Linked DNA regions of Saccharomyces cerevisiae S288C. Changing the gene in region 1 together with any one later gene gives a genetic interaction. Each region holds a gene or a part of one and is shown in the gene's direction. Other genes may lie near its edges. The genes, in order: SRS2, MMS1, TOP3 and CHL1.

The links.
Region 2: mutations in SRS2 (region 1) and MMS1 together harm fitness more than expected from each alone (negative genetic interaction), as found in Saccharomyces cerevisiae (7 studies listed by BioGRID, with this or other methods).
Region 3: mutations in SRS2 (region 1) and TOP3 are lethal when combined (synthetic lethality), as found in Saccharomyces cerevisiae (8 studies listed by BioGRID, with this or other methods).
Region 4: mutations in SRS2 (region 1) and CHL1 impair growth when combined (synthetic growth defect), as found in Saccharomyces cerevisiae (8 studies listed by BioGRID, with this or other methods).

Annotation. Positions count from the first base shown.
Region 1 is NC_001142.9:255,760-263,901, forward strand, and holds SRS2 (DNA helicase SRS2), read left to right. Parts: upstream 1-1,663; coding exon 1,664-5,188; downstream 5,189-8,142. Other genes in the region: TOK1 (Tok1p), read right to left, coding at 1-1,053; GWT1 (glucosaminyl-phosphotidylinositol O-acyltransferase), read right to left, coding at 5,321-6,793; protein kinase activating protein DPB11, read right to left, coding at 6,998-8,142. UniProt on the Saccharomyces cerevisiae protein: ATP-dependent DNA helicase involved in DNA repair at least for UV-induced lesions. The polarity of the helicase activity was determined to be 3' to 5'.
Region 2 is NC_001148.4:867,620-876,568, forward strand, and holds MMS1 (Mms1p), read left to right. Parts: upstream 1-3,083; coding exon 3,084-7,307; downstream 7,308-8,949. Other genes in the region: ORC4 (origin recognition complex subunit 4), read right to left, coding at 1-685; TIF3 (Tif3p), read right to left, coding at 1,026-2,336; Rho family GTPase RHO1, read left to right, coding at 7,749-8,378; mitochondrial 37S ribosomal protein uS14m MRP2, read right to left, coding at 8,663-8,949. UniProt on the Saccharomyces cerevisiae protein: Component of multiple cullin-RING-based E3 ubiquitin-protein ligase complexes (CRLs), which mediate the ubiquitination of target proteins. The CRL associates with CDC34 as the E2 ubiquitin-conjugating enzyme.
Region 3 is NC_001144.5:606,162-613,019, forward strand, and holds TOP3 (DNA topoisomerase 3), read left to right. Parts: upstream 1-3,621; coding exon 3,622-5,592; downstream 5,593-6,858. Other genes in the region: BNA5 (kynureninase), read right to left, coding at 1-958; EST1 (Est1p), read right to left, coding at 1,264-3,363; YLR236C (uncharacterized protein), read right to left, coding at 5,633-5,956; thiamine transporter THI7, read left to right, coding at 6,206-6,858. UniProt on the Saccharomyces cerevisiae protein: Releases the supercoiling and torsional tension of DNA introduced during the DNA replication and transcription by transiently cleaving and rejoining one strand of the DNA duplex.
Region 4 is NC_001148.4:535,394-542,470, forward strand, and holds CHL1 (DNA helicase), read left to right. Parts: upstream 1-3,991; coding exon 3,992-6,577; downstream 6,578-7,077. Other genes in the region: RET3 (coatomer subunit zeta), read left to right, coding at 1-194; RQC2 (Rqc2p), read right to left, coding at 427-3,543; transcription factor TFIIIC subunit TFC8, read right to left, coding at 6,689-7,077.

The DNA of each region.
Region 1 (8,142 bases):
CATATAATGTTTCCACGATTTGGACCTGCCTTTTTCAACTCTGTGGAAAAAGAAAATTGGGCCAGAGGACTTTTGAATGATGGATCTTGTCATAAACACTATTAAACCCATCAAGACAACACCAGATAGCGAAAAGATTAAAACCATGATTTTGGCGCCAACCGACTTGGGCAGGATGTCACCTAGTCCCACGGTTAATAATGATACCGTGCAGAAATATAATGCATTTCCGTAAGTGATGTGCAATAAACCGCTAAACATACCCGCACCCCAAATCAACCATAAAGACAATAGTACAGTGTATGCCATGATACTTCTTTCATTGGGCAAAAGGTTGAACGTTGGAGGATATTTTCCTAATTTATATCCAATAAAATGTATTGTTAAAATAATGGTGCATACCAAATATAGACCAGAACTGATACAGGCAAACCAAAATCCGATAGTCTTACTGTAGATGCTGGGCATGTCATTCAAGGAGCATACAATCACGTCCACCAAAAGCATCCCTCCAGCTATTGTCCATCCTGTTATATTTATTAACTGAGATTTAAGATACGTCAACTTCTTACTGAAATGTAGCATTAGTATAATATTTGACGTAAAACCCAGTACCAAAGAGATGATATTAACGGCAAAAATACCAGGAGGATCAAAAACTGTCTTTACTTGATTCATCAAAACATCGGTGTCATTGCTTCGTGGATTTGTCACCACGGAGTTGTTCTTTAAGGATCTCCATTTTTCAACTACACAGGCTATCGAGATAGTGTTAGCTACGGGACCCAAGCAGGCAGTAATCACAGGGAAATAGCATGAAACCACAAACCAAAAGACGAACAGTGTTGAAGAAGGCTCTGCATTAATAATACTAACTCTTTCGTCCCGGAACCGCAATGCATCCTTTAGTTCCTCTGCAAGAACACCCTTAGCTTGCTTCGGTGTGTTGTTTGAATGAGAATCAACAGCCTGAGCTGAGCTCTCTTGCTCCACTGTCGCCATATTGCCATATCCCAGCGTTTGTTTGGCAAAGCTGTTCATGAACCTTGTCATATATATAGAAATCGGTAAAATAAATACAAGAAATATGCTTTGTTATACTGCTAGAAAGGAGTGAAGACATCTGCTCACGATCTACGAGATGCGGCTATTTTTGATGGAAAAAGATACATAGGGTCAGGCATTTTTGCCATATTGAATAACCAAGATGGTACTGAGTACTCAGGTAATGTATATTACATTGAGTACTTCACTTGTATACACAACCACTGCTTCGTATTGTATATCAAGTATCTAACTGTTGATAAACTACAACTTTCTCTTCAACCATAATGATAGCGCCGCTTAAAACATGCTAGGGTAACGAGACGCGAATGCGAAAAACTCCCAAAAAAACCAAAACAAACAAAAGTGACAACAATTAGAACGATGCTGAAGAAGAATAGGAGCGAGTTTAGAGTTACCTCCAGCTATCCTGATACTACTGCTTAGGCTACCTTCGCAGAGTCTCGATAAATTTGCAGTCGGCAAGATAAGAATATTTCTCTACAGCTTTTAGACAGCTTCCTGTCCCTCTAGTTTCTTTTGCCATCCATAATTGTACTCTGCACTTTGAGTATCATTCCAATTTGATCTTTCTTCTACCGGTACTTAGGGATAGCAAATGTCGTCGAACAATGATCTTTGGTTGCATTTAGTATCCCAGTTAAATACTCAACAGAGAGCAGCGGCCCTCTTTGATTACACTAGAGGGCTGCAGGTCATTGCCGGTCCCGGCACAGGGAAGACTAAGGTTTTAACTTCAAGAGTAGCGTATCTTATTCTGCACCACCATATTCATCCCCGCGATATTATAGTGACTACTTTCACTAACAAAGCTGCTAACGAAATGAAAGAGCGTTTGCAAGAAATGTTACGCGGGGCAGGCGTGAATATTTCGGAGCTCTTAATTGGTACTTTTCATAGTATTTGCCTGAAAATACTTTATAGATTTGGCCACTTGGTGGATCTACAGAAAGACTGGAGAATTATTGATGAGAAGGAAATAGATGTCATTTTAGATGATATGATCGAAAAAGTTCCCGACCAAATAAGGGATTATGCTTCCTCAATCACAAGGAAAGTAAATCTTTGTATGCCGAGTAAAAATGGAGATGAATGGACTATTCATCCGAAGCTGATCAAGAAACAGATATCAAAGCTAAAATCAAACGCAATATTACCTGAGGAATACATCTTAGATTCGAATCATGACGCCGCGCTTGGTTACTTTTACCAAATATACCAATCAGAGCTAAGCAAGAAAAATACGTTAGATTTTGATGACTTATTAATGTACACCTTTCGTTTGCTGACTAGAGTGCGTGTTTTATCCAACATAAAGCATGTTTTAGTTGACGAATTTCAAGATACTAACGGCATTCAATTGGACTTGATGTTTCTTTTTGCTAAGGGAAATCATCATCTTTCGAGGGGGATGACCATCGTAGGTGATCCTGATCAAAGCATATATGCTTTCAGAAACGCCTTAGCGCACAACTTTCTAGAAATGGGCAGAAAATGTCCCATCGAGTACTCAACTATCATACTTGTTGAAAATTATCGTTCATCACAAAAAATTCTAAATACAAGCGAAATTTTAATAACGCAACAAAACAAAGGTCGGCAGAATAGGGCTCCACTCCGTGCCCAATTTGACCTGGATTTTCCACCAGTTTACATGAATTTCCCCGCTTACTTTTTGGAAGCACCTTCTTTAGTTCGGGAACTACTATATTTGAAGGCATTGCCAAACCTATTCACATTTAATGACTTTGCTATCCTAGTAAGACAACGAAGACAAATTAAAAGGATCGAAAGTGCATTAATAGAACATCGGATACCCTATAAAATTATTAGGGGCCACAGTTTCTGGGATTCCAAGGAAACAAGAGCGATGTTAAATTTATTAAAATTGATATTTTCTCCGAATGACAAACATGCAATTCTTGCTTCACTTTTATATCCAGCAAGGGGCCTTGGTCCTGCTACCGGTGAGAAGATTAAGAACGCATTGGACACGTTAGCTACCGATGTGTCATGTTTCCAAATATTGAAAGACATAAGTAGTAAAAAAATAATGCTAGACATACCGACGAAAGGCCGTTCTGTGATTGCTGACTTCATTTCAATGATAGAAAATTGTCAATTGTTGCTCCAGAGCACTTTACTAGGGGGTCTTTCAGATTTATTTGATAAGCTATATGAATTATCAGGTCTGAAATACGAATACTTGTACAAGGATGGTAAGAAAAAAAATGATCAGCTTGAAAAATCCGAACCTAATTTATTAAACGCAAGACATAAGAATATTGAACTTTTGAAAAACTATTTCCTGGCTCTTCTTTCCAAGTCAGAATCTTCAGATAAAGAAAAAAATGAAGCCATTAAAGCAGCAACAGATGAAGCCGAACCAATAGAGAACAAGGTCATCACTCCAAAAGAATACCTCCGTAATTTCTTCAATTCACTTTCCCTTCATTCTGATGCAGCTGAGGAGGAAGAGTCGGAATCCAATAAAGATGCAAAAATAAAACGTGAGAAGAATGGGTTTGTCACGATATCTACAATTCACGGTGCCAAAGGTCTTGAGTGGCCGGTAGTTTTTATTCCTGGATGCGAAGAAGGTATAATTCCTTGTGTGTTCAACGATGATAAGAAAGACGAATCAGAGGAGGACGAAGAAGAAGATCAAGAAAATAGTAAGAAAGATGCAAGCCCAAAAAAGACTAGAGTTTTATCCGTGGAAGATTCTATAGATGAGGAAAGAAGAATGTTTTTTGTTGCACAGACTCGTGCAAAATACCTGTTGTACCTATCAAATACTGTAACTGTGGAAGATGTCGATAGACCAAGAATTGCAAGCCGATTTTTGACTACTGACTTGATAAAAGCCATGTCCGATAGCCAAAAATTATTTGAAAGTACGAATAGTATCAAAAAACTATACCGAATTTTGAACAAAAAGCCGCCTGCTGAAGATGATAAACTATTCTCCCTTGACCAATTGCGCAAAGACTATAACCAATTCATTGAAAATAGGAGAGAAAGGATGATTTGGCAAGGGATACAAATGAATGATGTCTATGGAATACAGTTGTCTAGAAATAAATTATTGGGTTCTGTTAGTGATTTCACGTCAGCTGCGGACCAGTTACGACTCGAAACGCAAAACTCTATATTCCCACAGAAGAAACTTATTGAAAAATCACGCCCATCCAAAATCAATGGCAATTACGCTCCTAAAAGTAGAGTTAAAAGTCCAGAAAAAAGGTACGCTCCAGAAACTACATCATTCCATTCTCCTACAAAGAAAAAGGTGTATGCACCTCAATACGTTTCAACAACTAATGTACCTAGTAGGCAGGAGTTTCATTCTTCTACTGGGAAAAATATTCCTTTTCTGAGAAGAGAAGATAGGTCCATCACAGACATATCACCACGATCATCAACGAGGTCGTTAAAAGGAGCATCTCCAAATAAGACGAGCCACATGTCAGATGATTTAATGAGACCATCACCTACGAGGAAGGACAAAGTTACTCGTAATATTCATTTCGCAACTGCAGGAACTTTCAGAATAGAAACCCAGTCAAATGTTGATGAACTGCATCCTCCGGAATACTCCAATAAATCAGGGCAGTCGCTTACGTCGAGTGAATTTTCTGGGTTTTCTAGCGCGTGCAGTAATTCTGATCAGCCAACGAACTTAATAGAAGATATAAACAACGAATTAGATCTATCCGATGAGGAGTTATTAAATGACATATCAATAGAAAGGAGGAGAGAGCTTTTGGGCTCGAAAAAGACGAAAAAAATAAAACCAAAAACTCGAAATAGAAAGTCTAAGAGAGGTGACAAGGTTAAGGTGGAGGAAGTGATAGATTTGAAGAGTGAATTTGAGGAAGATGACAGCAGAAATACAACAGCTGCTGAGTTATTACATAATCCGGATGACACTACAGTTGACAATCGTCCAATAATCTCCAATGCTAAGTTTTTGGCTGACGCAGCAATGAAAAAGACACAGAAATTTTCCAAAAAGGTGAAGAATGAACCTGCATCAAGTCAAATGGATATATTTTCTCAGCTGTCACGTGCGAAAAAAAAGTCAAAATTAAACAACGGTGAAATCATAGTCATCGATTAGTAGCACTTTCATGCCTGACTACGTCAACTATTGGAGGCGGTTTATAATTTTTATTTAAAGCACATAGGAGTTAATTTTATTTTACTGGTAGGGTTTGTATACGAACTACATGGAAATGTGGATGGTGTGTTATTATAGCTTAATGAATATTCTTTTTCTATACAAGAAAACCGATATGACAGCTATGAATGAGCAGTATGCCAACAAAACCAGGAATGATTTTAAGGGTGAAGAATCTATCGTGACCATAGACATATTGACTAAACCAGTAGAGACATTTGCCAACAAAAATAAAAACAACCCATTGGAGTTGATTGATTCCAAGCATTCGGCAACTTTATAATATTCCGAAGAATTACCGAAAATTTTGTCAGTCAAGCAGTACCCAGTCAAAAATAGTAAATTATAAGTAATGACCCACAAAGTATATGGTAAGTTAGCAAACCTTCTTGAAACACTATAAGGATGGTATTGAAAAACCAACTGGCTGATAACAAGAAAAATTGTACTCCATATACAGAGGCCACTTAATGGGGTTACTGAAGTCCAATAGTCCCAAGTCGAAGACTTCTTTGATGCTGCAACTACGTCTTGCGTAGAAGGCTTATAAAGATTGTTTAAAGTTGGTTTATTTCCCAACAAGTAAAATCCCGTGTTTTGGCCCCAAAGAAAAATCGAGCAATAACCTAGAAATGAGAAGATGCCTTCTCTATTAGCACTGAAGAAACAATTTCTATCAGCCAAAATTAAAAAGTTTAAAGTGCGATCGTCCTTTAAAAGTAGCCATTCATAAATGCATGAAATGAATATTGCAATTGAGCAGCGTGGAACCATTCTTGTGACGGGATCAATAAAGGTCAATACAAGTGGCAACAATGATAGGGTGATAAAAAAATTCCAATGAACCCCATATTCTGTGACATGTTCTTGATATTCCAAATTTTTTACAAAAAACAACCTCAGCAATCCTAGGAACAATAGAGTTCCTCCTGATTTTAAGGCATTAAATGCATTTTTTAAGAAGCTGGGTTTACTCTTCAAGCTTAGGTTTTTCAACAGTGCCCTAGAAGAAACAATACCGTTACTGAAAACGAATGATCCTACACCAAGATCCATCAGGGATGTCCCCCAAGTTTCCACCTTGGCAAACCTCCTTGGGAAAATTGGAAAATCTACAGCCAAGATGGCAATAGCAGTCAGAATAAGCATCCCACCACGATACGCAGTAATATACGGCTTTTTTTCTAGTTGGAACCGCTGTGTAATCATTTTTTTTTTATTGTATATTGGATTAGAAGGTTTACTCGAGCTAGTAAATTTTCCATATATGAATGCGAGCAAACAAGGTAACAGTATTAGCGTGTTTAGAAGGTATGGTTCACTAGCATAAATAGTAATAGATAGAAGCAAAGCAACCCAGTTCAATGCAAAATCAATTATGTATTGCACGCTGGAAATGCCAGGAGGCATAAGGTTGGAATTTTTCAATAAGTTCCATGATATGTAAGTTACCAAAGCAATTGATGTCACTGCGTTAATTTCTGTTATAGAACCGCCATTGAGCCCTGTCACAAAGTCCTCTTTTCTCTGTTTTAAAGTCGACATATTCTTCTGATGTACTGTTGCCATTTATTTAGATATTTACGTGTCTTCTTATTGCGATCCTCTTTTTCTCATGCTGTTTTTTCACGCGAGCATGTCATGGAAAGTATTATCATACAAAACGGTAATACATATAGATGAGTAGATTTGAATAATGCTGTAGATGGCGTATGTAAATGAATATCTTATAAAATTACGGACTACATTTCAAGAATCTAATTCCTTTGTCTGATTTCTTGTCTGTCGTCTCATAGGTTTTTCTAAAGAGGCAGTACGTTTCTTATCTTGAATGGAGCCATAGGTAACTTGAGTATGTGAAACTTCCTCAGTTCTTGGGATCTCTTCTGGATTAGAAATTGCAGTCGGCTGCTCTGTAGGCACATTTTCTGACATTATTGTGCCCCAACTCGTGGTTCGTTTAATTTGTTTAGGAACGAAATTTTTTGGCAGTGACTCCAACTTGATCCTTTTCGTATCCGGCATTTGTCTCTCTGAAGAAACATCCATGATACTCGATGAGACACTACGCTTTTTTCTTCCAGAATCAGTTTCTCTAATTTTCTGCAATAATTCGTTTTTGGTATCTTTCATAGAGTGCTCCGATAATGAGGAATTGTTTCTTTTCAAAAGAATAGTTTTGTCGATTTTTGGATCATTGTTTTGGTACTTTTTTTCTGAACTAATGCTGGTATAGTATGGTTTTTTTATCTTACATTTAAAATCGTCCTTGTGTCCTCTTGGGCAGATAATACACCACTTGATATTGTTTAAAAAGATTTCATTATTTTCTCCAGATGCAGCGGACAATAATTTAAAAATAAATGCTGGAGTAACTACCGGTATGGAGTGGAATTTCTTGATATATTCAATTTTCCTTTTCATCGAATTTCTCAAGATTGAATTATTTTGAAAATCTTTTCTGTTATTATCACCAGGATCATCATTATTGTTATTAATGCAAAACTGAGTAAAAAGATCGCTAAATTCATTCGACCATAACGGATGGGTTTTCGGGATACTGGGTAAAGCTGCTAAGTTGATTAGCAGAATGTCAGTGGATTTATTGAGGTATTCTACATAATTGATGCCCATTGGTTTTAGAAGATTTAATACTTTAGTCAGATGTAACAGCTCTACGCCAGAGAATCCAGTGATAGTAACATTCAGAAAAGGGGAAGAAGAAAATTCATGATGCAATAACTTTGAAGAAGACGAAACTTGAAACTCTATTGTGCTGAGGAAGGGTTTTGACCATAAATCTATTGGGTGTAGTAATTTTTGATAATACAAGCAGCGTTCAATGAAAAATTCTGTAACTATACCATCATTATCATCTATAATCTCAGGTAAAT
Region 2 (8,949 bases), on another chromosome or scaffold:
TTTGCCTCACAGGCCCAGCAAATGTATCAATTTCATCGAATATAAAAACAACTGTTATCTTTGTTATACTCTCTCTGTCAACCTCACCACTATCTTCATTTCTTGTCTTCGTGGTCGAATCTAAGAGTAAAAGAATTTTCTCAAACACTTCTGTCAAAGAACCACTGCTAATAGTCTCTAATGAAGTATCGTCAATTTTTTCTTCACTGCCATGAATTTTCTGCAACTGCTGTTCCAATTGAGTTGCTATACCGTTAATAGCTGTTTGTTCGGAGTGAATAAACCCATTCAACCTGATAGTTATAAACTGCTCTTTATAAGATTGTTGCAACAAAGACAGTTCATAGTCTAATAAGTATGTTTTGTAACTTTGTCTGGGCCCCACGAGAATTACTGAATGACTCTCTTTCTGAATAATGGATTGTTTAATGATTCTATCGATCTCTTGTTGACAATCTTGTAAATATGTGAAGATTATCTTTTCGTCCGTAGGAAGTGTGCCATAAAGTTGCTGCAGTAACCTTCTTTGAAGGGAACCAAAACCAGGGTCGCTGTCTTTACACTTTTCATTATCTATAGTACGCTTTTTTAGAATCGCTGCAGTCTCCTCTACCTCTTCGTTTGAGTGCCTCTTTATTGGGAGAAGATTGACTTGCGGTGATAGACGAGCTTCGCTTATAGTCATGCTTCTTCTTTTGAATATTACCGATATTAGTAGTTTATATTTGATATTTCTATCAGTATTATTTAGATTTTTTTTTTTTTTTTAATTGTTAATGCTTTTTCTTAGAACTTTCCAAAAACGAAAGGAAAATGGGACATTCAAAAACTTACCTCACATAGAAAAATGATAAATCCAAAAATACACTTGAACACATGTATGAAACTTAATACAAAATATATGGTTATTTTTTTTTTAATTATATAATAGAGTTAGAATACCTGGTAGAAAGGAGAGTAGAAAAACAAGAAAGAAAAAAAGCAAACAGTAAATACAAATGTACATTTTATCATCATACAACACTCTATTTCTTACCAACAACTTCCCAATTGTCACCATCTTCAACAGTCAATTGAGCAGTTTTATCCTGTAGCTTTTCAACTGCCGCATCAACTTTGTTTTCTTTTGCGTCTCCATTTTGCTTTTCAGCCTCTTCATCTTCATCATCATCTTCAGTACGTAAAACATCATAAACAGACTTCTGGATTTTTGGTTGCTCATCAGTAGTCTTTTTGTTAGTTAGAGACCTATCCTTGTAGGTATTTTTGGTTTGTTGAGGCTTACCAAACTGAGCACCTCTGGCAGCACCCCAATCCAAAGCTGGTTCTTCCTTTTCTCTTTCTCTTCTTGGTGGTCTTGAGGAGCTTTGGAAGTTGGAACCTCTGGCTGCACTCCAGTCAATATCTGGCTCTTCTCTTTCTCTTCTTGGTGGCCTCGAGGAGCTTTGAAAGTTAGAGCCTCTAGCTGCACTCCAGTCAATATCTGGCTCTTCTCTTTCTCTTCTTGGTGGTCTGGAAGAGCCTTGGAAATTGGAGCCTCTTGCAGCGCTCCAGTCGATATCAACTTCTTCTCTTTCTCTTCTTGGTGGTCTGGAAGAGCCTTGGAAATTGGAACCTCTTGCAGCAGTCCAGTCAATATCAACTTCTTCTCTTTCTCTTCTTGGACCTCTGAAGTTAGAACCTCTAGCGGCACCCCAATCAAGATCTGGTGCATCTTCTCTTCCATCACCTTGGAAATTGGAGCCTCTAGCACTACTCCAATCAACATCTGCACCTCCCCCTCTTCTTGGAGCCGCAACAGAAACGTAAACAGTTCTCTCATTCAATTTAGTACCGTTGAACTTCAGAACGGCGACCAAATCTGCTCTTTCTTTCAAAGTAACGAAAGCATTACCCTTTAATCTTGTTGGGTCTCTTAGATTCTTTGGCAAAACAACTTCTTCAACCGCTTCAGGCTTAACTAAACCATCTTCAACCCAGGCTTGAACACCCTCTGGGGTAATATCCCATGGAATGTTGTTTATGACAGCCCTATATGGTGGAGCATCTGGAACAGGGTATTCCTCTCTTCTATCGGAAGAACCGCCCCCCAAAGCAGGGTCTAATCTAGATCTACCTCCAAAACTGCCACCAAAGCCGCCTGAACGCGTGTTATTGCTGTTGTTTTTAGCATGAGCCAATTCGGACAATGGAATAGTGTTTGCATTAGCGGTTTCAATAGGAATTGTGATCTTATTCAAATCGACATCTTCTTCAGCCCAAGATGAACCAAAGGTGTCATCATTTAAAAATGACGTAAGGTCCATCTTCTTTACGGTTTTCTTTGGTGGAGCCATGATGTGTCCTTTTTATTATGGTATTATTTTCCTAAAGACAGATGAAAGCTAATATAAACTCGAGTTTTATGATAATCCCGCTTATTGGTCTACTGATCTTCTCTAACTCTGTAGTTATATCTATCTCTTCTGCTTCTATTTCTGCTTTTCTTTAGCGATGCTGATTTCCGCAAAAAAATTTTCATTCCGTGGTGCGTGATCTGATGAGAAATAAAGCCAAAAAGAAAAAAAGACAAGAAGACAAAAAGGTTGGGCGGCTAAGTAGCGCCAGGATATAAAAAGCAACATAGATTTCAGTACCCTATTATCCTGCCAAAATTTACTTTAAGAAGTCTCTATGAATATACAGGCTAAATTTGGAAACATGAGAAAGGAAAGATGAAGATACAAAGATTGCAAGCAGTCAAGAAGATTTAGGAAAAAAGGAAAAAGCAAAAAATATCGATTTTTATGACTTACAAACTAAATTGATATGTTCGAAATAATTTTGAGAAGCTGAGCTCAATCTGGTACTAATCACTTCAAGTTAGATGTGCAAAGAAAGAGAATAGCATAAATTCAAAACCAAAGGAAGTGCGAGGCATTACCCGCATATTATCGGGAAACAGAAGCCATGTTAGAGTGATTTCCAACAAATGGCCCTTTGCCAGAGATGGGCTCTGCAAAAGAATTGGAAGAAGAGAAGAAATCGCTTCACATTCCGTTTCGTTTCTGGGTCTAATTAAAGTAGTACGGTGTCAATTAGGTATGCTAGGTTTGCGAACTCATGGTTTAGACAGGTATGAACATTATATTCGTCGCCCGTCGGATTTTGGCAAACTTGAGCTGCAAGATTGGTTGAATCATAAGTCATTCCGAGTTTCCCCCAATTTATTAATTGATTCAAGCACCACACGTGAGTGGAATGAACCTGAGCTTTTTTATCAAAATACCGAGGATGAAACTTGGGTGAGACCTTGTGTAGGGCCAAAGCTAGAACCATCAATGATGATGCTCAGATATCACGATTCGAATATTGGTCAAATGCCTCAATTTTGTTATCCAATCTCAAGTCCGATAAATTTTAAACCAGTATTAAAATACATTTTGCAAGAACGTTCTGAACTGTCAGACGGCTTCCCTCAAAAGTATAACACACTAATAGGTAGTCTTTTTGACATTGATAAAAACCCAGAAACCTTAGATGATTCAGATATAGAAGCATTGGATGACATAGAAATGAGCAGTGACAGCGGTAATGTTAAAGAACCAAAAATTGAATTGCAGGCGCTGGAAGAAATCCAACAAAAGCATTTCAGTTTAATAGTATCCAACAATGGAATCTTTCAAACAGGTAGCACTTCAATAACATACATACAGTCTGGCATATCTGGCAGCATAGCTATAAAACCCAACAACGTTGCAATTTTAATATTACTCACTCAACCAAGTGGTCACTTATTGTCTATTTTACCGCTTGATGACGGTAAAGAGACATATTTGCTACAATATTGGAACCTGGGACAAAAAGGTCAGTGGAACATAATCAAGCACCAAAACGAGAAGCAGTTTGTTCTTATACATAAGGAACTAGGCATTTGCAAATTTTTTGAATTCCATTTACCATTTACTTTTCAATTAGTAAACAATTTAACATTGACCGATTCCGTGATTATGAACGGATCCTTTTTCCCAACAAATTACACTGATTTAGATCCCTATTTCATTATATTTATAACAGCCATAAGATATGAAAGGATAGTCTACTTTGTCATAGAATGGAACAACAACGAAATAAAGAAAAAAGAGGTATATCAATTGACAGTATTTGATGGTGAGAAGACTAATATGACAATACCCATTGGACTAAATGCATGTTTAGTCGAAACACCCCTAAAGTTCTCTTTAGTTTCTGCAAATCAAATTATGTCAGGAGAGACTGAATTCCACTCATTCCAATTGAAGGCTCTCAAGGGAATCAAGTCATTTTTTCCAGCTCCTTTATTGTTATTAAAATTACAAGAACTACACCCACATACATTTAAAAAATTCCAATATTGTACCATAATATCCTCCTCGACAGGAAATATTTGTTTTTGCGTCACCGAACGATCGACAATAGTAAATGGTAATTTAAAATTTTACGAGCTAACTAGGTTCAAAGGATTGAAATCCATTTCACCACTACCTTCAAATCCGATAAATTTAGACTCCAGATCCTCAAGTTATGTACTGGTGGTCATAAGTTTTAGTAGAACATTAGAGCTAACATTATCTCTAGAAGATTTGAGATGTTTAGATAAAAAAGACGTTATTAAGCCTTTGAAAAATATCACCTTCAAGCACACAATTGATAGTTCCACAGAGGAGAACTCTCAAATTTTAGCATTTACGTCTTCTAAATTTTATAACACACACACAGGCTCTAACATCAATGACACGAGAAATTCTCAAGTTTGGCTTACCTCACCAAATGCAATAACTCAACCTTGCATTGATTATAAACTCAGGAAAACTCATCAACTTATCCACTTAAAGCAATTTCAAATTTTTAGACATCTTAGGATATGGAAATGTAAGAACCTTGATATTGCTCTGTTACAGAGACTTGGAATAAACCAGTCAAATACCGAAAGTTCGTTAATTTTTGCGACCGACGCTGTTTCTAACAACAGAATATTTTTATTAGATTTAACTATGACAACGACAATCGATAATGATGATCCCGTTCAAGGACTGATAAATATAGAAGATTTACTATGTGATACTGAAAACGAAACTATCCTTCTAAATTTTACGAAAAATAACTTGATTCAAGTAACTAGGGATACGATATACATCGATCCCATTGGTGGGGACAAAGAGTTGCGTAAGATTTCTCCAGGTTGGGAATTCGAAAACGTTACATACAATGATGGTATTTTAATAGTTTGGAATGCTGGGCTTGGCTGTGTCTCTTATATTGAAAATATAGACGCTGTTGATGAGTCTGGCGCCTTAGTTTCAAACTTAAGCAGCAGCAAAGGCATGAGCAAGTTCTTCAAGCAGTTAGGAACTGTCACGAGTGTCAATTTTCAAATCAAAGAGTCTACAGATGATCCAACCAAGTATGACATTTGGATCCTTTTACCAGACTGTGTCATTCGTACACCCTTTTCTGACTGGATTAGTGATTCACTTGATTTTTCTGATGTGTATATTTTGAGTGTTCAGCAGGCGTTAATAAACGGCCCTTATTTTTGCTCTCTCGATTATGAATCATATTTTGAGGTGCACACTTTACAGAACAACTGCTTCAAAAAAGGATCCAGATGTACAAGCAGAGTTAATTTTCAAGGGAAAGATATTAAATTTAGAAGCTTTGGTGTGAATCAATGTTTGGCATTTAGTGCATTTGAAATTTTTGTCATCAATTTAACGCCAATTCACGACAGTAGAGAATTGGATTTTTACAAGCTAAAATTACCGCACCTAGGTAATAACAATTCAATTCTTGAAGTCTGTCCGGACATAGAAAACAACCAATTATTCATACTCTACTCTGATGGCTTAAGAATCCTCGAACTATCATACCTAACATCAAATAATGGAAATTTCTTATTAAAATCTACAAGAAGCAAAAATAAGAAATTTTTATATCTAGACAAAATAAATCGAATGCTGGTATTGAATCAGGACTTGAGGGAATGGGAGTGTATTAGACTATCAGATGGTAAGGCAGTTGGTTTAGATTCTCAACTTCTTAAGGATGATTCTGAAGAAATCCTAGAAATAAAGGAATTACCAATAGCAACAGAGGACAATCCTTTAGAAAAGAAAACTGTATTATTGATCTCTTTTACTAGCTCATTAAAACTAGTTTTATTAACTGCTGCAAAAAACAAAATTTCCAATCAAATAATAGATTCGTATAAACTTGACAATTCAAGACTCCTCAATCATTTGGTCATTACTCCCAGAGGTGAAATATTCTTTCTGGATTATAAAGTTATGGGCACCGATAACGAAATGTCCTTTAACAAGTTGAAAGTCACAAAACATTGCATTGACCAGGAGGAGAGAAATAATACGACTTTGCGGCTCACTTTGGAAACCCGGTTTACATTTAAGAGTTGGAGTACAGTTAAGACGTTTACTGTAGTAGGCGATAATATCATTGCTACCACAAATATGGGCGAAAAGCTCTACTTGATTAAGGATTTCTCTTCATCATCTGACGAATCGAGAAGGGTGTATCCCTTGGAAATGTATCCTGATTCAAAAGTTCAAAAGATAATACCATTAAATGAATGCTGCTTTGTTGTTGCCGCTTACTGTGGAAATAGGAACGATTTAGATTCAAGATTAATTTTTTACTCTTTACCCACCATCAAAGTTGGGCTTAATAACGAAACAGGCAGCCTACCAGATGAATATGGGAATGGGAGAGTCGACGACATATTCGAGGTTGACTTTCCTGAAGGATTTCAATTTGGCACTATGGCTTTGTATGATGTTTTACATGGTGAGAGGCACGTAAATCGTTACAGCGAAGGCATACGGTCGGAGAATGACGAAGCAGAGGTTGCCCTAAGGCAGCGTAGAAATTTACTACTCTTTTGGCGAAACCACTCTTCTACACCAAAACCTTCACTACGCCGAGCCGCCACTATAGTATATGAGGATCATGTATCATCCCGTTATTTTGAGGATATAAGTTCTATATTAGGAAGCACTGCAATGAGAACTAAAAGACTATCTCCCTATAATGCGGTAGCATTGGACAAGCCTATTCAAGATATTAGTTACGATCCCGCAGTACAAACTTTATATGTGCTAATGGCAGATCAAACAATTCACAAATTCGGCAAGGACAGGTTGCCTTGCCAGGACGAATACGAACCAAGATGGAATTCTGGCTATTTGGTTTCAAGAAGGTCAATAGTTAAATCTGACCTCATCTGTGAGGTTGGGTTATGGAACCTTAGCGATAACTGCAAGAACACAGTATAATTCCCTCATTTCCAATAACATTGTCGCTGATAAAATCGTGATTCTCGATCAATGTGCTACGCGTCGTGCAGCGTGACAAGGGGCTAAAAAAAGATACAAGAATTCTTGTTGTTTCCAATTTGCTTCGCCTCAGAAAAAAAAATAAACAGATTATACAATTTTTGTTTGATTTGTATTGGGTACTACATGTTTTAGTAGTTGATACAAATACTTCTTTATCCTAATCGTATATATTTATTTTACCAGCAGGAATTCGTCTTTAATATCGTTTCGACCATCGATCATTCCTCTGAGTATTGCAAAAACATTTTTGGAACAACCCAAACTTAAAGTTACAAAACTCAAAAAAGGAACAAAATTAATAAAACAAAAGAATCGCTGTTAGAGGTTTATTGTTGCACTAATAGAAAATCATAGAACTTTAAAAATTATACTAGAAAGATGTCACAACAAGTTGGTAACAGTATCAGAAGAAAGCTGGTAATCGTTGGTGATGGTGCCTGTGGTAAGACATGTTTATTAATCGTCTTTTCCAAGGGCCAATTTCCAGAAGTCTACGTACCAACTGTCTTTGAAAACTATGTAGCAGATGTTGAAGTTGATGGGCGTCGTGTAGAGCTAGCGCTATGGGATACCGCTGGTCAAGAAGATTATGATAGACTAAGACCATTGTCATACCCAGACTCCAATGTCGTATTAATTTGTTTCTCTATCGATCTTCCAGATTCTTTAGAGAATGTACAAGAAAAATGGATTGCCGAAGTATTACATTTCTGTCAAGGTGTGCCAATTATTCTTGTTGGTTGTAAAGTGGATTTGAGAAACGACCCACAAACCATTGAACAATTAAGACAAGAAGGTCAACAACCCGTTACATCACAGGAGGGACAATCTGTAGCAGACCAGATTGGCGCAACCGGATACTACGAATGTTCGGCCAAGACTGGTTATGGTGTCAGAGAAGTGTTTGAGGCCGCCACTAGAGCTTCATTGATGGGTAAATCTAAAACGAATGGTAAAGCTAAGAAGAACACTACTGAAAAGAAGAAGAAGAAGTGTGTCTTGTTATAGGAGTGTCTCGATCTCTCAGTCGTTAACTTAGTGGCAGATACTGCCCTTTTTCAATCCCATTCCTTTTCTCATTGTATGTACGTATGCCTTTTTTTGTTATTTTAGCTCTAACTATAGCTACTTGTTTTTCTCCCAGTATGTGTATAATCTTATTCTTCTCTACATATAAGTGTATTGCTCAGTAAGTATTATCATCTATTAAAGAAGAATAAAAATTATCATGTATTTATTTACAAGTGCGTATCCTATATATATATATATATATACTTTCGCGATAAAATTTTTTACCAAATACCCTTCTTAACACCTGGCAAATTACCCTTCAGAGCGTTTTCTCTAAATTGATACCTACACAACCTAAAATCACTTAGAACAAATCTTGCATGTCCAGAGTCCACGCACCTATTTTTGATCTGCGTAGATCTCATGTAGTTTGGCAATGCATTTAGTTTTAACTGAGCCTCCAACCTCAGTTTTGTTGGAAGGTTCATATTTCTAGCGATGAATTTCAAAGATTTAACAAGGATTTCATTCTCTTTAAATTGTTGTCTTTTGAAGTTATCCCTAAGTA
Region 3 (6,858 bases), on another chromosome or scaffold:
TGTCAATAACGCTTGGATTAGATTGCCTGAATCCCAATGCTCCTGGAATCGGCTCGAATACTTCCAGCATTTGAAATCGCTTAGCAGGATCATTGCCCCACCAACCAGCTAATCTTGGCAAACTTTCCTTAGCAGGGTCTGGTTTAGTATGCTTCGAGTGGACAAATAAGCCACCAATTCCACCAGGCCCGGCATTCAAGTACTTGTAAGAACACCAACAGGCAAAGTCAACACCCCAATCATGAAGTTGCAATGGGACGTTCCCTACAGCGTGTGCTAAATCCCATCCAACCAATATGTCGGGGAATTGGTGGGCAAATGAGGTGATTCGGCCAATATCGAAATATTGCCCCGTGTAATACTGAACACCTGACAAACAGACCAGCGCCAATTCATCTTGATTTACCTCTATGGTATCCAGGATATCTTGAGTTCTGATATAAGTCTCTCCCTCGCGTGGCTCGATCTGAATAAAAACATTCTCAGGTTCCGAAATTCCATGAATTTTGCACTGGTTGTAGAAAGCATAATAGTCTGATGGAAAGGAGCCCTTTTCAAAAAGGATCTTGAATCTTTTCTCAGTAGGTTTATAAAACGTAATTAACAATGAATTCAAATTTGCAGTGAGACTATTCATTACTGCAACTTCATTTTCTTGAGCACCCACGATGGGGGCTAGTAGTGGAAGAATAGGTAAGTCAATGCTGACCCAAGGCACCTTTCCTCTGGCTTCTTCAGGATGTTTGAAATGCGATTCCACAGCACAATCGCTCCACGCATCTAGCTCAGCATTAATTGAATTCCTAGTTGACTTCGGCATCAAACCTAAAGAATTCCCGCATAAGTACGTCACAGGCTTATCGTCGGACGATAGTCCCATGGATTTAAATGTAGGGATGTTGAATTCATCCCTCAGAGATTCCGGATATTCTCCGTCTAATTCCAAAGCTTTCTCCATAATTACCAGTTTGTTTCTTTTTTCCACAGAATATTTAGGCTTAATATGTACGTATTGACAGCATATATATTTGCTGTCTTGAATTTATTATGCTAATAAATAATTATGTTTTTCAAGCGCAGTCACCTATTTCCAAAGCGATGGGTTTGTCCGTGCCGTAGACGGCATCCCGTCGTTTTAATAACCGTTATAAAAACCGCCCCCATATTTTCGTGGGTTGACGACGACAGGCGTGGACGACGTTAATTGACGTCGTCATAATATATTTCATATTATGATTTTTTCCCTCACCATTACTTGTTCTCTCAAGTAGGAGTATCTGGCACTTGGACGGTGATGTCCTCATCAGCATCAATTGCTTCGTCTGGATATGAGAGAAAATCAGAGGATAGTGGGCCAGTGATAGTTTTTCTCCCTCGTGAAGCAGCATGTTTTACCAACTCAGAAGAAACGCCATCTTTTTCTGGGAGCGGAGACAATTTTTTTGTTCTCCGGACATTTGCAAATTGTTTTTCCAGTTCTGTCACAGCTATTTTCCCGGCTCTTTTGCGCTGTTGTTCATCTCTTTTGGCCTCAACTTTTCTCGAAGAGACTACTCTTTCCTGTTGTGTTTTTACATTTATTTTGGAGGAAATTTCCGATAATGCTATTTGGCGTTTTATTTTAATATTTGGGCTTATTAAATCAAACTTATATTTGCTGGCATTCCATATGACGCCGGTGTCATTTTTCTCTAAAAATTTCATGCCAGAAAATATTATTGATCTAATTCGCAGAACACATTCTTCTTTTGGAGAAAGCACTTTAGTCAATGTAGGGCATCCAATTATATTATTAATCATGTCGGGAGAATCATACACATAATCGTCATTAAAATCTGTTAGTGCAAAGTTAATGCAAGAAAATTCCCTGAAAATAATATCTTCTCTAAAAAGATAGCTTCTTTTCGGCCTGTGGCTATATATATTTCCTGAACAATTCAGTGGACTATTTATCAAGTCGTTCAGCAACAAGGCGAATGAAGTGCAAAACTTCCTGTGTCTGTGAGTGTACTGCAAAATAGATCTATATGACTTAATCCAGCACATAAGCAAACGAATAATGGCTAGATATCGAAAGTCTTCCATGTTTTTTTGCCAGGAGGGTTTGATGACGACGTCTATGATATTAGCAATAAAATCAAAGCTCAAGTCTAAAAAAAAAACCTGGCGCTCACTCAAATCTGCATATTTGAGTTTGTTCTTTTGTTCCTTACTTTTTCGAGTTGTAAACATAAGATCGAAACTTCCCATTGTGGCAGCCAAGTTTTCAAGTATAACATTAATATTACCTGAATGATACTTTAATGCAGCCATTTGTAAATGCTCTTTCAATAACCAACAATTAGAAGCACGTGATGCGTTCCATGACTGTGGAACCAAAGTGTGTTCTACTATCGATAGAAATTGCAAAACAATTTGACCTTCAAAGAATGATTTCTCACCTTTGAGATCTTTTGACACAAGAATTGCCAATTTTTTCATCAGACGTCTTCTTTCCGGAAAATCAGGAGTCAAAATGAAATCTTTCAAATTGTTTAACGCACATTTAGACGGAATCCTTACCAATGCTCCTCTTACTAATTCAAAGAAATACAGTGAGAATTTCCCAGTGATCAAGTAAATTTTCGCTCGTTGAAAATAAGTATCTCCAACGGCTGGGAGATAGAGTGAGGCAATATTCAAGTACCTAATAGACTTCTCAAAACCTTCCACACTCTTGGGTTTGTTAGACGGCTTGTTTAGTAGTGTTTTATAAAAATGTGTGGAACCTAGATTAATCACGCATCTTTGTAGTGAGATTACAATGGAAAACGTCAGTGGATTACTCGTGTTTAAGATAATTTTCTCATGAGTTGAAAGTCCATCTGTGTATTGCATTAAATTCAACTTCGCGAAGAGAGCATTTGAAATAACGGAATTCATATCGTACTTTGCGCATAGGTGTTCGATGATGTCATAGTAATACCTGTGTGTAATTTTGAAAAATTGAATCATTTTTTTTTGAAAAATTCTAAAAACTCTGAACTTTCTTCTGTTACTTAGTCGCATGATATCATGGAACCAGTGCTCAAACCATTGGAGTGTAGGTTCGTGAATTTGAAGCCATAAAAGTTTCAGAACCAATGGTATCACGGAATCATTTATGCGTTCGTAATTGTTATTATGGTACATATTTTCTTGTTTCAAAAGTAGCTCTTCGAGAAACCTAGTAGATTTGCGATGTATTCCATCCAGGAAGCATCTGAACGTGATATATGCATTTTCATCGCATGTCAACCTTGATGTTAGATGTTTATCCAGATGCGCACGAGCGTTCTTGAAAAATAATCTCATACATTCTTCGTTAACTTCTTCATTATCCATTATCTATGGTGGCATGTGTCATTTAATGGAATATACTTTTTCCCCTGATAAGTTTGCTAAAAACGGTCGGATCATACAGGCATGTTAACATTTCCATTATCCTTTTTGACATTGGATAATGGCGTGAACGCGAAAATCACATTGATAAAAAAAAGCAGTTTGGCGAATTAGTAACTGTCAATAAAGAGGGCATCGCTTTTGAAAGCACCTTCGTCTGTGCGCTCGCTTCAGCTACGTAAAGGTGTATTATAGACAATAATGAAAGTGCTATGTGTCGCAGAGAAAAATTCTATAGCGAAGGCAGTTTCACAGATCCTAGGAGGAGGCAGATCAACTTCAAGGGATTCCGGCTACATGTATGTAAAGAACTATGATTTCATGTTTAGTGGGTTCCCGTTTGCCAGAAATGGGGCTAACTGCGAAGTTACCATGACTAGTGTTGCAGGGCACCTAACAGGCATTGATTTCAGCCATGATTCGCATGGGTGGGGAAAATGCGCCATCCAAGAGTTATTTGATGCGCCACTGAACGAGATTATGAATAACAACCAAAAAAAGATAGCAAGCAACATCAAGCGAGAAGCGAGGAATGCAGACTATCTGATGATATGGACAGATTGCGACCGGGAAGGAGAGTACATCGGTTGGGAGATATGGCAGGAGGCCAAGAGAGGCAACAGGCTCATACAAAATGATCAAGTATACCGGGCAGTCTTTTCGCATCTCGAAAGACAACACATATTAAATGCAGCACGAAACCCAAGTCGATTGGATATGAAGAGTGTGCACGCTGTAGGCACGCGGATTGAAATCGATCTTCGAGCAGGTGTTACATTCACCAGACTCTTAACAGAAACGCTACGAAATAAACTGAGAAACCAAGCCACCATGACCAAGGATGGTGCAAAACACCGCGGTGGTAACAAGAACGACTCACAAGTCGTATCGTATGGTACATGCCAGTTTCCAACGCTCGGCTTTGTAGTAGACAGGTTTGAAAGAATACGAAATTTTGTTCCCGAAGAGTTCTGGTATATCCAATTGGTAGTCGAAAACAAAGACAACGGCGGAACAACAACGTTCCAGTGGGACAGGGGCCACTTGTTCGACCGGCTGAGCGTGTTAACGTTTTACGAGACATGCATCGAAACCGCCGGCAATGTTGCTCAAGTAGTAGACTTGAAATCAAAGCCAACAACGAAATACAGACCTTTACCTCTGACCACAGTGGAGCTACAAAAAAACTGCGCCCGGTACCTGCGTCTGAACGCCAAACAATCACTAGACGCAGCAGAAAAGCTATACCAAAAGGGGTTCATATCGTATCCAAGAACAGAGACTGATACTTTCCCACACGCAATGGACCTAAAATCCTTGGTCGAAAAGCAAGCTCAATTGGACCAACTCGCTGCAGGCGGCAGAACCGCCTGGGCATCGTACGCGGCATCGCTGCTCCAACCCGAAAACACAAGTAACAATAACAAGTTCAAGTTTCCACGAAGCGGCTCCCATGACGACAAAGCGCATCCACCAATCCACCCCATCGTAAGTCTGGGGCCTGAAGCAAATGTTTCGCCAGTGGAAAGAAGAGTATACGAGTACGTGGCCAGGCACTTTTTGGCATGCTGCTCAGAGGACGCCAAGGGCCAATCGATGACCCTTGTGTTGGACTGGGCCGTTGAACGTTTCTCAGCTTCAGGTCTCGTAGTCCTAGAGAGAAATTTCCTCGATGTTTACCCTTGGGCCCGATGGGAAACCACCAAGCAGTTACCGCGGCTTGAAATGAATGCCCTCGTAGACATCGCGAAGGCCGAAATGAAGGCGGGCACTACGGCGCCGCCCAAGCCGATGACTGAGAGTGAACTCATTCTCCTCATGGATACAAACGGCATTGGCACAGACGCCACCATTGCGGAGCACATAGACAAGATCCAAGTACGTAATTACGTTAGGAGCGAGAAAGTAGGCAAGGAAACCTACTTACAACCCACGACCCTGGGTGTCTCACTAGTGCACGGCTTCGAGGCCATCGGCCTCGAAGACTCCTTTGCAAAGCCCTTCCAGCGCAGAGAAATGGAGCAAGACCTCAAGAAAATCTGCGAAGGTCATGCCTCCAAGACTGATGTTGTAAAGGACATAGTCGAGAAGTATAGGAAGTACTGGCACAAGACGAATGCCTGCAAGAATACTCTCTTGCAAGTTTATGACCGTGTCAAGGCATCCATGTAAGGCGTTTTTGCCGCCCTTTGTCTTCAAAAAAGCTCTCCGCTTAATTGCATGATTCAGCTGACTGCATATGTGCATTTTCAGTACCAGCCGCAACTGCATCAAACCATGCAGAAGTCGCCGCCACAGAAGCTCCAGCGCGCCGCGTAAACGCATGTTGGAAGGCGCCCCAATTAGCATATTCACGCGCGACTACCAAACGCATAGGGAAGGTTTCAGAGAGCCGATGAGCAGCGGATGCACAGAGTACGGCCATAAGGCTGCAAAGCGCTTGGCAGGAATGGGCGTTTTCTAGAGGTTGCCTTATTGATTTATATGGAAGAGGAGAGGATTCATCGATCGGGCTTCTAAGGCAAATAGTATGCATACCTTTTTCGGGTAGTTGAAGAGAAAAGAGGAAGAGAATAGAAAAAAAAAAAAAGCGAAATTTTTACATCCTCTATTGTAATGTAATTTCTTTTTTTTTATTAGGTATATATGTGAGATACAATTCTCGAAGTCATCGGGAAGCTTTACCATTTCATTTCCTATTCCAGAACTCATATTAGCATCTATTGTTCTGAGATTCATCGCAACATCATTTAAAGGACTGTAGAGCCAATTGCATTATATCAATATGAGTTTCGGTAGTAAAGTCTCCAGGGCTTTGAGATTTTTGGAAATTCCTGTCAAAGACAGGGCATCTGTGAGTTTCTTGAAGAACCCGGATTTGCAACCTATTAAGTCGGCTAACCAAACATGGGGGTTCTGGTCTAATTTTGCATATTGGGGTGTTATGTCCTTTTCAGTGGGTACATGGATGAGTGCCTCTTCTGCACTAGGTGTTGGATTAAGTTACCCAGAAACCATTGGTACATTTATCGTCGGTGATGTGTTGACCATTATTTTCACATTGGCAAACTCGTGTCCTGGTTACGACTGGAAGGTCGGTTTCACTTTGGCCCAAAGATTCGTCTTTGGTATTTACGGTTCTGCCTTCGGTATCATCATCAGAATTTTGATGAGTATTGTCAACTACGGGTCCAACGCTTGGGTGGGAGGTCTTTGTATCAATATGATCTTGGATTCATGGTCTCACCATTATTTGCACCTGCCAAACACCTTATCTTCGAAAGTTGCCATGACCACTAAAGAATTAATTGGTTTTATCATCTTCCACGTCCTTACTGCATTCTGTTACTTAATGAAACCCTACCACATGAACTACATTTTAATTTGGTCGTGTGTTGCTACATTTTTCTCTATGTTGGGTATGGTGATCTATTTAGC
Region 4 (7,077 bases), on another chromosome or scaffold:
TGGTTTTATTAGCTATTGATGAAACCATTGATAATGGTGTTATCCTCGAAACTGACTCTAACACTATTGCATCCAGAGTTTCTAAACCACCTACGAACGAACCCCAAATGGCATTAGATTTGGATAAGGGTTTCTTAGGCGCGTGGGGTTTCGCAAAGAGCAAGTTTCAAGAAAGGTTACAGCAAGGCTTATGATCACAAGGCAAAGCGGATAGAAGAAAATTTTAGCTGGTCTTATATGGTATATATGCAGTGTCTTACTTTCTCCCTTCCATATATATGTATCTACTTATATATATAAGTATATGTTGCTCATTTAGAAATGATTGTCACCTCATGCTAATCATTTTATTCTTCTCGTTGGTCTGTGATGAAAAATAATGAAAAAATTATAATTGCTGTCTATTTTCTTTTCATCTCATATGATTTAGCGTTTTTTTTTGCCCTTCTTCGAAGAGTTACCACCGTTCTTGGTGGATTTCTGCCCAGCGATTGTTACTTTTAACTTGTCGACACAGAGCAGAAGAACCAAGTCCTGTTCCTTCAAGCCTTTAATCATTTCATGTTCTTGGGGCCAATCCATTTCGTTGTCAGTTGAAGAACCGTCTAGTGGTCTACTCTTGAAATAATGTAAAATTTCAGTTAAAGTCTTAGTTTTCTTCGCACTTCCCGGTTGTATTTTGACTTTGTATTTATATTTCAAAAGCGCAGGCCAGGGGGCAAATACTGGTATAATATCATCAACCACATCGCCCTTATCGAGAGATGGTTTTAATTCGGACTTGTGTTTATCATAGTTCACTCTTGCTTTCTCTTTTTTGGTGAATTTTAAAGCCTGTAGTCTTCTTTGTTTCTCGCGTTTATTCTTTCTATCTTCTCTAACTTCTCGCTTCATTATTTCTTCTTTCTTCCTTTGTTGCTGCTTTTCGATACCCTTCAAAGTACCCAAGGCCTCCAAACGCAAGAGACGTTCAGTTTCATCCTGGTCGGCGTATTTCTTTTGAATTTTCTTCAATTTTCCTCTTTTACCACGGACGTTACTGTTTATGTTTTCGATTAAAGATATCGGAACACCTGGTTCATCAAGGATACGCTGCGTACTGCTATTGTCATTTTTGGCTTTAGCATTTCCAGAATCAGAGTCGGTATCGGATGATATGGTGCAATGCTTTTCGATGTCTTTTTCAAGATTATCGTGTTCAAAACTGTTGTTTTTCGTGCTATCGTTTGAATCTCCACCCTTCTCTAACCCATTGACCTCGTTACTATCGTCTTCATCTTGCTGTTGCTCTTCTTCTTTTTCTTCTTCTTCTTTTTCTTCTTCTTCTTCTTCTTCTTCTTCTTCTTCTTCTTCTTCTTCTTCCTCTTCTTCTTCTTCTTCTTCTTCGTCATCATCACCATTATCCTCATTTCCACTGGTTTTCACTTTCCATAAAAATCCAAAACCCATCACAAGTTGAGCAGGGGGTAAATGGTTTTGATCATTCTCATTTTTCAACCGAAAGGCACCTTCTGGCAGAATGGAGTTATCAGAGCCATCGAATTTACTAACATTCTTTGCAAAGCACCACCATGGAGAAGAAGATATCTTCTTCGACCAAGCCTCGCTTGAGGACATGCATAGTATACCCGCTTGCATCAAAGTGTTCGGTGGAACTTCTGTTTTTTCTGGATTTTTGATCCATACATGAGAGTTAAAACTATTGGACATATAAATATCATCATCTTCAATATATTTTGAATAGATTTGATCTGTCTCAGCCGGACTTTTACCCATCATGACCAAAAATCCTTCACTTGAAATAAACCAACTATATTTTTCAAAAAAGTAAGGAGTGCGGATCTTTTTTAAGACACTGTGAGAATCTTTTAGCTTTTTTTTCAATTGTTGATCAATTTTGACTTCAATATTCTTCATAGCCTTGCCGACATTCTTTTCGACTTTTTTCTGCTTTTGAGCACTTGTTTTTTTGATATTGAAATATTCAGTGGCATTGGCATAAGCTGATAAACCAAGGTCAATTGTAACGTTTATCTTTTCATTAGATTTTCTTTTCATACTTTTTGTACTCCTCTCCTTCGAACTCTCCATGTCTTCTGAGTCTGAGTCACTAGAACTATCAGTAGTATTGCCTTCTGATTCATTGTCCTCGTCTGAAGAAGTGTTGAGTTCCTTGCTAGAGAGATCAAGCTTGACGCTAATTTTGTTCTGTTTCAAGTTCAAAGGCAAGTTCAAAAGCTGAGCAATTCTGTTGCCTTTTTTTTGTTCACTTTTAATTAGTTTCTCAATAGTGTTCCAGTCCATTTGTTGATCGATTAGACCCTGAACAGCAAGCTTAACTTCCTCTATTAAGGGTGCATTTTCAATTATGAGATGGCCTTTCCTTTCATTTAGTTCTTGGACGTCTAATAAAGCTTGTATTTTTCTATCATTTTCGGCACGAGCATCATCGATTTTCTTTTGCGCTTGCGATTCCTGATTTTGTATACGTAGAGCATACTTAGAGGATTCTATTGTTGAGAAAAATTTGTCTAGCGTCCTATTGTAAGGACCTTCAACTTCAATGATACAAGAAGAGTCAGTGTCTCCCCCATTTATATATGGCTTAAAGGGATGGAATGTATCATAAATAAATTCCAAATCGGCAGTATCTTTTTCAGAGATATAATTTTCATTTCTTTTGGCCAAAATGTAACCCTTTCTATCGGTGGTAGTTAAAAGTTGATTATATTCTAACTGAGTACTGTTTAGCAATTCGGCGAGTGAGTCTGTTTCCTCCAAAAGATTTAAACAAGACTCTGAAGGGTCGATATTGAATACCTTAAGGTTCTTTGATAATAAATCTGAAGACAAATGAGGGACTTTCGAAAGCAGCAGTTTATGGATGGAAGGTACTTTCACTTTTTTTTTTTTAGCGCCCTCCTTCCCTTGAATGTTAAGTTGCTTAATAACAGTAATGTCTGATTCATACTTGGCTTGAACTGCTTTTATCCACTCGTTGACTAGTTCAGAGGTGTATTCTGCCTTTCTGTTTTTTTCTATGGATTCATCAGCAGACTCGTTATTTGTGGTAAAAAGTGATTCGTCAAACATTTCATAAATTTGTCCGACCTTATTTTCATGCTCTAGAACGACTCTTTGCAAAGCCATAATTCTTCTGTTCTCATCTAGAAGAATGACATTCCCTGCACTGAAAAATTCCAAAACTAAATAGAAGTGGCCATCAGCAAATTGTAGAACAAGAATTCTATCCTGGTCTACTTGCTTTAAAGCTGTTAACCGTTTAGCTTTAAGATGCTTCCTTAGTTTGACAACAAAGCCGGAAGGAGTTGGAGGTATTGGCCTACTAAATTCAGTTAAGTAAATTCTTAAGCCACAATCGACAACAACATTGAGTTTAGAATCTGGTTTATTAAATTTCAGCAAAAATTGTTTTGAGGAATCGGCAATGTTATATATATTACTCAATCGGTAGCCTTCCAAATCCTGTTTCAGCTCTCTAGCCAACAGCAGTAAATCTAGGGCACTAATTCTTTGCTTCATCGCTATTAATCTCTTGCCTGCCTGACTTCTTAGACCGGATAATAAGTAGCAACTTTCTTTTCAATTTGCCATCGGATTCTTTTAAAACTATTTTTCAGGCGAAATTTCATTTTTCTATCCTTCCGCAGCATGAATGAAAAGTTCAAACGCGTCCAAATATACAATAGATATAGTGCATTAGTTAATGTCCGGAAGAGAAGTCGCAATTGTTGAAAAGGTTAAAACTCAGGCTATTTATTGAAAATCCAATTTTAATCGTAACCACAGAGTTGAGGTAGAGGCTCATTTGTTACCTGACAGTTGATGACATTATCACTGACATATTTAAATTCATCATTAGTGTAATCAGCACATGCTAAGTTGAGGGCACTACTGCAACTTCAGTTTGTTTCCTTAAAACCCAAAAGAGTAGAAAACCAGGCTAAAAACAGTCACACTAGTCCAAAAAATGGACAAAAAGGAATATTCGGAGACTTTCTATCATCCTTATAAGCCCTATGATATTCAGGTACAGTTAATGGAAACTGTATACAGAGTGCTATCCGAAGGGAAGAAAATAGCTATCCTGGAAAGCCCCACTGGGACAGGCAAGACGCTGTCCTTAATCTGTGCCACGATGACTTGGTTGAGAATGAATAAAGCAGATATTTTCACCCGCATGGAAACTAACATCAAAACGAATGAAGATGATAGTGAAAACCTAAGCGATGACGAGCCAGACTGGGTTATTGACACTTATCGAAAGTCTGTTTTACAAGAAAAGGTGGATTTGCTAAATGATTATGAGAAGCATTTAAACGAAATTAACACGACCAGTTGTAAGCAGTTGAAAACTATGTGTGATTTAGATAAAGAACATGGAAGATATAAATCAGTTGATCCATTAAGAAAGAAACGCAAAGGCGCTAGGCACCTTGATGTATCACTTGAAGAACAAGATTTTATTCCGCGCCCGTACGAATCAGATTCTGAAAACAATGATACCTCCAAAAGCACAAGAGGAGGAAGAATATCTGATAAAGATTACAAATTGAGTGAACTAAATTCACAAATAATAACACTTTTAGACAAAATTGATGGGAAGGTTTCGAGAGATCCAAACAATGGCGATCGCTTTGACGTTACAAATCAAAATCCAGTGAAAATATATTATGCATCCAGAACTTATTCACAATTAGGTCAATTTACTTCTCAGTTAAGATTACCCTCGTTCCCATCATCCTTTAGGGATAAGGTCCCAGATGAAAAGGTGAAGTACTTACCACTTGCTTCGAAAAAGCAGCTTTGTATTAATCCAAAAGTGATGAAGTGGAAAACATTGGAAGCTATTAATGACGCATGTGCGGACCTTAGACATAGTAAAGAGGGATGTATCTTTTATCAAAATACAAACGAATGGCGTCATTGTCCTGATACGTTAGCTCTCAGAGATATGATTTTTTCAGAAATTCAAGATATTGAAGATTTAGTTCCCCTGGGAAAATCTTTGGGAATTTGTCCCTATTACGCCTCGAGGGAGGCACTTCCTATTGCGGAGGTAGTGACTTTGCCATATCAATACTTACTTTCTGAGTCCACCCGTTCAAGTCTTCAAATAAACCTTGAAAATTCTATAGTAATTATTGATGAGGCTCATAATTTGATAGAAACAATAAATTCTATATATTCCTCTCAGATCTCGTTGGAGGACTTAAAGAATTGCCATAAGGGGATAGTAACTTATTTCAACAAATTTAAGTCCAGGCTCAATCCCGGTAACAGAGTAAATCTATTAAAGCTCAATTCACTTTTGATGACTCTGATTCAATTTATAGTTAAAAATTTCAAGAAGATAGGACAAGAAATAGATCCTAACGATATGTTCACAGGAAGTAACATCGATACCCTAAACATTCATAAACTATTGAGATATATAAAAGTCTCCAAAATTGCTTACAAAATTGACACGTATAACCAGGCACTAAAAGAGGAAGAATCGTCAAAAAATGAAAATCCAATAAAAGAAACGCATAAAAAATCAGTTTCTTCTCAGCCATTACTTTTCAAGGTTTCTCAATTCCTATATTGTTTGACAAATTTGACGTCAGAAGGACAATTTTTTTTTGAGAAAAATTATTCAATAAAGTACATGCTTCTAGAACCAAGTAAACCTTTTGAGTCAATACTAAATCAAGCAAAATGTGTAGTCCTTGCAGGTGGGACAATGGAACCCATGTCAGAGTTTTTGTCGAATTTGCTACCTGAAGTTCCTTCTGAAGACATTACGACCTTGTCGTGCAATCATGTTATACCGAAAGAGAATTTGCAAACTTATATCACAAACCAGCCTGAGCTTGAGTTCACATTCGAAAAAAGAATGTCTCCCTCCCTTGTAAATAATCATCTTTTTCAATTTTTTGTTGATCTGAGCAAAGCAGTTCCTAAAAAGGGTGGTATTGTAGCTTTTTTTCCAAGCTATCAGTATTTGGCGCATGTAATTCAGTGCTGGAAACAGAATGACAGGTTTGCTACATTAAATAACGTGAGGAAAATATTCTATGAAGCAAAAGACGGCGATGATATTCTATCTGGATATTCTGATTCGGTAGCAGAGGGAAGGGGGTCTCTTTTGCTGGCTATTGTTGGGGGAAAATTATCAGAGGGAATAAATTTTCAAGATGATTTATGTAGGGCTGTGGTGATGGTGGGCCTGCCGTTCCCAAATATTTTTAGTGGAGAACTAATAGTTAAAAGGAAGCATTTGGCCGCTAAAATAATGAAGTCAGGCGGAACGGAAGAGGAAGCTTCACGAGCAACAAAGGAGTTTATGGAGAATATTTGTATGAAAGCTGTCAACCAAAGTGTTGGACGTGCTATACGGCATGCAAATGATTACGCAAACATTTACTTGCTCGATGTGCGATATAATAGGCCCAATTTCCGGAAAAAATTGTCACGTTGGGTGCAAGATTCTATCAATTCCGAACATACAACACATCAGGTCATTTCTTCAACACGGAAGTTTTTTTCAATGCGCAGCCTGAATTCACGCTAAAAGGAATACGTTTACGTGTATACTGTGATTACTACTATATATTATAGTAAACTAAACTGATATTTATGACTACTTTTTATATCTGCAAGTAATTCTTTGTCTCTTGTATCCTTACATAACTTCCAGCGTTGTTCCACAATATACGCTTATTTCATTAAATCTTTCTAATAGACCCCTTGTAAACCAACCATAATCATTCAAATCATCTCGTTTTATGTCTATTACCCGTTGTTTGCTCACGGGACATATCTTTACATGCGTTGTAAGTATTGGAAGCAAAGTGACACCACACCTCTTCCACGTGTTATTCGTGGTGGATGTTACAGTTTCAGGGTCAGCCGTGAAGCTTTCTAAATTGAACGTTTCCTCGAGAAAGCTGTTCTTCATCAATAACGTGCCGTTGTAAATTGGCGCTTCTCTTTTAAGTATTGCCGCTATAGATAATACGCAAGCTAAATCAAAACTATTCGTTAATTCGGATTTTTTGTTTATAGCGTATT